Coturnix japonica: one gene and its partner. The protein of the gene in region 1 interacts with the protein of each later gene in a biochemical or structural test. Links are inferred from orthologs where the notes say so. Each region holds a gene or a part of one and is shown on either strand. Other genes may lie near its edges.

The links. The genes of interacting proteins can lie anywhere in the genome.
Region 2: the proteins of SYTL4 (region 1) and RAB8A form a complex in vitro, tested with the Homo sapiens proteins (2 studies listed by BioGRID). The link is inferred for Coturnix japonica from reciprocal best matches to the Homo sapiens genes SYTL4 and RAB8A.

What each region holds. Positions count from the first base shown.
Region 1 is NC_029519.1:4,996,756-4,999,474, forward strand, and holds the end of SYTL4 (synaptotagmin-like protein 4), read left to right. Parts: intron 1-516; coding exon 517-622; intron 623-748; coding exon 749-848; intron 849-1,494; coding exon 1,495-1,703; intron 1,704-1,881; coding exon 1,882-2,024; 3' UTR 2,025-2,166; downstream 2,167-2,719. UniProt on the Homo sapiens protein: Modulates exocytosis of dense-core granules and secretion of hormones in the pancreas and the pituitary. Interacts with vesicles containing negatively charged phospholipids in a Ca(2+)-independent manner.
Region 2 is NC_029543.1:3,483,435-3,487,617, reverse strand, and holds the start of RAB8A (ras-related protein Rab-8A), read left to right. Parts: upstream 1-1,354; 5' UTR 1,355-1,584; coding exon 1,585-1,708; intron 1,709-2,091; coding exon 2,092-2,152; intron 2,153-2,332; coding exon 2,333-2,393; intron 2,394-2,709; coding exon 2,710-2,787; intron 2,788-3,171; coding exon 3,172-3,261; intron 3,262-3,940; coding exon 3,941-4,006; intron 4,007-4,183. Other genes in the region: TPM4 (tropomyosin alpha-4 chain), read left to right, coding at 61-130, 587-669. UniProt on the Homo sapiens protein: The small GTPases Rab are key regulators of intracellular membrane trafficking, from the formation of transport vesicles to their fusion with membranes.

The DNA.
Region 1 (2,719 bases):
TGTTTTCCCTGCCCAGTCAGGTATTCTCATTTTGTGTGCTTCATTACTCCAAGACTGCAGCTCTTCCTGTCTCCCTCCCCCAATAAGCAAGAATGGGAGCCAACTTCAGGGAAACAAATAGGGGAAATTGGACTTGACATCCTGTCGTGGGCTGCAGAACAGTGCAGTGAGAGGATGTTGTGCAGCTGGATGGCAACAGCAGATGCTTTCTGTTGTGGATTTATTCGGGAGTCTGGTTCTCTCTGTGAGTTGCTGCTGCAGACTCAGCCTTTTGCATTGCTTGGGGCCCAAGCCTGCAGGTGCTGAGCTAAACAGAATTTCCTAAGAAATGTGGTTAAGGCGAAGTGCCATCCCAAAGAAGCCCCTGTGGGCAGTTGTGCTGGCTGAGCTATCTCGAGCAGAAACCAGACCTTTGGGCCAAGAGTGGGGAGTGGCTGCGTGTTGACCCAGCTGTCACTGTGTCTGTTCTGGCTGCTCCAGCAGTGATGTGTTAATCCAGCCATTGCTTCTTTGCAGACTGGGGTGGATGCTGCTGGCCTCCCCCAGTACAAAGGGGAGCTGGTGGTCTCCATGAAGTACATCCCATCTTCCAAGCACCCTGGGGCTGGAAATGGCAGAAAGGGTGAGTGCTGGAGCTCTGACAGCTCTGTGTAGCCTGGGGGCTATTCAGTGCCCCCTACAGACACGTTGGAAATTCCCAGTGGTGAAAATTGATTAAATCTTGCTATGTTGTTTTGGATTTTCTTAGGCAAAGCAGGAGAAGGTGGTGAGCTCCAGGTCTGGATCAAAGAAGCCAAGAACCTCACAGCTGCCAAATCAGGGGGCACGTCAGACAGCTTTGTGAAGGGGTGAGTGTGGGTACTGGAGTGGGAATTTAAGGGAGATGGAAGTGAAAGCTCTGCTCCCTACTTGCATTCCAGAGCATGTCCTGAACCAGAGTGGGGATCTGGGGAAGGGAAGTGTCCTGCATTTGTACCCCCTGCCCATCTGTCTGTTCATCTCTTAGTAGTGATGAATCCTGGTAACAAACACTTCTCTGGGTTTTGGCCAGCTGAGAGGAGCTGCTCAGGGACCAGGAGGGCTGTGGCCCATTACTCATGATTGCAGACTGTGCAGAGGGGTCCCCTGAGCTGGGGAGGTGGCTGTTCTCTTTCTGTAGAGGCCTGGCCCTTCTCTCAGGCTCAAAGCTGGGAGCCAGGACTGGCTGCTCAAGGAGATGCCCTCGAGTCATCTCAGAGGTCACCAAGCAGCTGTGACTTTGGCAGTGCTGGTGTGAGGGCAGTTGGTCTTTGGTGTCTCCTGTGTGCAGATTGCTTGCAGCCTCCTGGGCTTCTGGGAGACACCCACTTCTTTCCAGACCATCATGTCCCATCTTCTCAGTCCTGGTGGGGACAGGTGGGATCCAAGGCAGACATCAGACCAAGCTGCCTTAGCTTCCGAGGGAGAAGTTAGCTGCATGTGTGTTGCTAACTCCAGTGGGGATGCTTTCCCCAGCTACCTCCTGCCACATAAAAACAAGGCCTCCAAGAGGAAGACGCCTGTGGTGAAGAAGACCCTGAATCCTCATTATAACCATACCTTTGTCTACAATGGCATCAACCCTGAGGACCTGCAGCACATCTGCCTGGAGCTCACTGTCTGGGACCGGGAGCCTCTGTCCAGCAATGACTTCCTTGGAGGTGTTCGCCTGGGTGTGGGCAATGGTGAGGAGCTCTGGGGGCGAGGGGCTGAGGAAGGCTGTCACTGCGGTGGGAGAGGCCCCACATGGCTCCCAAACCCCTGGACAAGTGCTTTTGCCTGGAGTCGCCTCTCTGCTGCAGAGGTGCTGCTCCCATGCAGAAACAGGCTGTAACTAACTTATGCCCATCTCCTTTCTCCGAGGCATGAGCAACGGGCAGGCTGTGGACTGGATGGACTCCACGGGTGAGGAGCTGAACCTGTGGCAGAAGATGCGCCAGTACCCAGGCTCATGGGCAGAGGGGACACTCCAGCTCCGCTCCACCATGGCCAAGCTGAGGCCCTAGGCAGCAGAACAGGCACCAGGGCTCACCCTGGGGCTTGCACAGCTGCTGTGGAGCTGCACTCACAGCATGGCCAGATGAGTGCCAAACTTAATTATTATTTTTTTGCCTATATTTTAATAAACATGACCCTTCTTTAAACAGGCTTGGGCAGAAAGTCTTCTTGGCCTAGCTTCTCTTCAAGGGTTTTCCTTTTGTTTTAGGAAAACCAAATTTGGACCAAATGTAAGGCTGAACTTGAGCCCTTGTGGGACCTCCCTTCTTTACCCACAGGCACAATGCTTTGCAATGTGGTTAGGTTTCCTTTTTCCCCTCCAGTTCTCTCCCTCCCACCCTCTGTATTTCATAACCTGCTCCCTTATTGTCTCTTCCACCCTCCTCCCAAAGGACAGTGCTGGCTCTGGGACCCAGGGGCAGAGAATAGACCAGTTCGTGCCCCAGCTGTTCAGTCATAGGGAACACTGGTGGGGCCATGCTGAACTGACCTTTTTCTACAAATTTATTAATTTCAAGGTGATATTCTACTGCCAAAACATTTCCCAGGAAGGGTGCCACGATGCTGGGTGTAAGGAGAAGCAAGTAGATTATGAGCCTCTGTACTGGATGTCTGTTACTGTCTTTGCTGAGCATGGGGCCATTTGCTTCTAATGAAGGCGTTTGCTGGCTCTGGCAGGAGCCTGGCATCAGTGCCTGGCCAG
Region 2 (4,183 bases), on another chromosome or scaffold:
CACGCTGCTTTTTGGCGGTGTTTTTTAACAGCGCTCAGTTATTCTATTTAATATTCCTAGGCTGAAACTCGTGCTGAGTTTGCTGAGAGAACGGTTGCCAAACTGGAAAAGTCCATTGATGATCTGGAAGGTACGAAATTACACATTCCTTTTCAAATGGGTTTTGTATTCTGCTGGGGAAGGACAGCCAGGTGCCGGCTGTCCGGGCGGGCCGTGCAGGGCTGGTGCTGCCTCATGGCCAGGGAAGAATTGCTCTGGAAGGGGTTCTCTATCAAATCCTTGTGAACAATGAACTTTTGTTGGGCCAGCTCACAAGCTTAGAATCGTAAGACCCATTTCAATCAGTAACAAAGTCGTGATGCTCTTTAGCCCGATGGCTGAGAAATAACTGAGATCTGTAGATGAAGTGTCTGACGTGGCAGCTGCCCATATTTCTGTATTTCTGCTTCCGCACTGCTGCTCCATCATAGCTCTGTTTTCTTTTGTATCCCCCTCCAACTGCTCTGGTTGCTGCCTTCTGCCTGTCCTCGTGCCCTCTGCTGTCCGCCTCTCCCCCTGCGCTGTTCTCTGTGCCTCTGCCTGGTAGATGAGCTGTATGCTCAGAAACTGAAGTACAAAGCAATCAGCGAGGAGCTGGACCACGCGCTCAATGACATGACCTCCCTGTAGTCTGCACCTCTCGGTGCTCCGTTTGCTGTATCTCTTATGCTCTTCTTGCCTGTAATTCCTTCTGTGCTAAAAGCGATCCATCCTTCAGCCTGCTCTGTAAGAACTGCGCTCAATAAAGATCAGATGCCTTTACCTGTCCGCTTTGGGGCTTTGTTTCCTTATCAGTACTGACGCTGTAAGTACCGCTCGGTGCTCAGCGGGGGGCGCCGGGCAGCTCCGAAAAACCGGAGCAACCGCAAACCCGACAGCGCTGTTGTTTCCGGCGCATCGGGCGGTGTTTGTACGGCACAGCAGCGCAGCACTGTCCGCTTTACGCCTTTTTTTTGCTCCCTTCCTCCAGACAAACTCGCTCAAGCGAAGGAGGAGAACCTGGGGCTGCACCAGACGCTGGACCAGACACTAAACGAACTGAACTGTATATGACCCGGGGAACGCCGCGGCCGGAAGACGAAACCCGCCCTCATCGCGTCACCGCTGCGCTCTGCCGCCGCTCGTCCCGGTTCCGCTCATCCCGGACGTGGCGTCGCGCATTAAACGTGTTACACGTGTTCCGCCATTCCCGCCGCTCCGCTCCTTGCGCCGCGCCGCCTCTCGGTGACGTCACGAGCCGACAGGCCACGTGACGCTGCCCGCGCGCCCCGTCCCCTCCCTCCGGCTTCTACTCGCGCGGAGACGGGCGCCTTCCGCTCGCGGCCGGAAGTGACGTTGCGCCGGGAGCGCGCGGCCAATCGCGGTGCCGCTTACGTCGCGAGCGGAGTCCAATGGCGCGGCGGCTCGAGGTCCCGCCCACCGGGTCGGCGGTGACGTAACGCTCCGCTCGGCCAATCGCCGCGCTGCGGGCCGTGATGGGCGGCGGGCGCGGCCTGTGAGGCGGCGCGGGGGGCGGGCGGTGCCGCAGGGGCGGCGCCCGGGAACATGGCGAAGACGTACGACTACCTGTTCAAGCTGCTGCTCATCGGCGACTCGGGCGTGGGCAAGACCTGCGTGCTCTTCCGCTTCTCCGAGGATGCGTTCAACGCCACCTTCATCTCCACCATCGGTGCGCGGGGCGGCCGGGGCTGCACACAGCGCGGGGGGCGCTGCGGGCCGGGACGGGGCTGTGCCGTGCCGTGCCGTGCCGCGCCGCGGTGCCGTCGGGCCGTGCGGTGCCGTAGTGCAGTGCAGTGTGGTGCCGTCGGTCGGTGCGGTGCTGTCTGTGTGGCGGTGCTGTCTGTGTGGCGGTGCTGTCGGGCGGTGCGTTGCGGGCCTTGTCGCTGCGCTCGGTTCGGGTCCGATCCCGCGGGGCGCTGCGGGCGCTGAGCCGCGGTTCCGTCCCGGCCGTGGGGACGCTGTGCGGCACAGTCTGGTCGGGGGGAAGCGGAGGGAAAAGCGTTGGTTTGTCCTCTGTAGAAGTTAAATGTAATGAGTTGTTTGTCGTTGCAGGCATTGACTTTAAGATCAGGACTATAGAGCTCGATGGCAAGAGGATCAAGCTGCAGATATGGTGAGGCTCGTTGATGCAGTCGGTGCTGCAGTGCAGTGCTGTTACTTTGTGTGCAGTTGTGCTCTTCAGCGGTATCATTAAACTAAAGCAGTTTTAGTGCACGTGAAGACCAACGTGTGACATGAATGTCTGACAGCATTAAGGTGGGAGGTGTGTGACCCCTCGTTCCATCTGTTGCAGGGACACCGCCGGGCAGGAGCGATTCCGCACCATCACGACGGCGTACTACAGGGGAGCCATGGTAGGAGCGCGGCGCAGGGCGGTTCGGCTCCCAGCAGAGCAGTATCAGAGCAGCCTGCAGTGCTGCAGGCACAGCTGCCTGGACTTGGCTGAGCGCCGGCGCTGTGCTGGGTGCTGGGAGGGCCCGGGGCAGACGGCTGCAGTGACTCACTGAGCTCACACCCCATCATTGCATCTGGCAACACGCGCTGACGTTCCGGGTTGTGCTGAAACAGCTCTTCTTTATCAGTCCTTAAGGCACTCCTTTCTGTTACAGACAGGTTTAACTGTTGCATATATGATCATAGCCAAAACAAGTATCTCTCCTTCCTCCTCAGGGCATTATGTTGGTCTATGACATCACCAATGAAAAGTCTTTTGAAAATATTCGGAACTGGGTCAGGAACATTGAAGAGGTAACTTCTCTTTACTTGACATTCAAGGTGCTGTTTCTCCCTCCAAAAGCAGTTGGAAATTAAATGCTTCAGTAACACTTCTTTCAAATTTAGAGTGGGTAGAAAATAGATTAAATGAAAGTCAGGGAATGCTGTGGGTAACAAATTTGCAGTGTGTGCTTTTGATTTGATTTTCCTGGCACAGAGCTGATGGTTCACAGGGCGCTCACAGAGCAGTCGGTGCCTGCAGTGCAGTGCTGGGATCAGGTGCTGTGCAGGAGCTCAGAAACCTACAGAGTGCTCAGCACCCATGTATCCATTTGAAGTTCTTGATGGAAACCTCGTCATTTGGCAGTATTTGTAAGACATAAACACAGTCCTTTCTTTCCTCTGTTCCTATCTCAGCATGCCTCTCCGGACGTTGAAAAAATGATCCTTGGGAACAAATGTGATGCAAATGACAAAAGACAAGTTTCTAGAGAGCAAGGGGAGAAGGTAAGTGTCACGGGCTGCGCCCAGATGCTGAAGGTGAAGGCAGTACGTAGAAGTCAGTGCTCCCTGGGGTGATCAGTGTCTGCAGAGCCTGCTGAGCTCCTTCCTGCCAGCACTGATGCAAAGTGCAGTTGCTGCCTGAGCAGAAGCAGCCTGTGCTGCAGTGTAACAGCAGCGCTCATCGTTGTGTGTGCCTCCTCAGTGGAACTTCTGAGTGCAGCTACCGAACGCTTCCCAAGCTGTAGCTGCAGTCCAACAAAAAGATGAGTCTGTTCAGAATGCAGCTGGGTTACCTGGTTGAGATGTTAGATGCGGAGTAACTGAGTTCTCAGCCAAAGAAAGAAAATCATTTAGGAATGGCTGCTTTTGTCATACACAGGTAGGCAGGGTTGTTGTTTCTGGCATCGGATGTCAGTTAAAGTAGAGAATGTACTTTTATGTACCACAGACGTTACAGAACTGACAAGGTATCTGTTAGAAATAGATGTATGTATTTAAAGACAAAGGAGCAGACAAAAATGTGTGTTTTGTTCTATGAAAAAGAAGAACAAAGTCCAGTAAGAACAGATGCTGATAGCAATGCAGCTCAGTTCCTGGTTTGTGGAGGAGATCCCGCGCTGTCTGTTATGTTTATGGCTGTTCCTGCAGCCACCCGACTAACACAGAACCTGCTTTTGTTCAGCTTGCAGCGAGTTTTGGAATTAAATTCATGGAGACCAGTGCAAAAGCAAATATAAACATAGAGAATGTAAGTACTGCGACCTTTCTCTTGTATTTATTGTCTTATAACGCGTGAAGATAAGCTGTAAGAACAGTTGCCCATCCTGACTGAGTGCAGAACTCAACTGCTGATACTTCATATGGGCTGTTACAGTCAGAAGGGCAGATTATTGTTAAACAAAGCTGTTAAGATTGTGTTTTATTA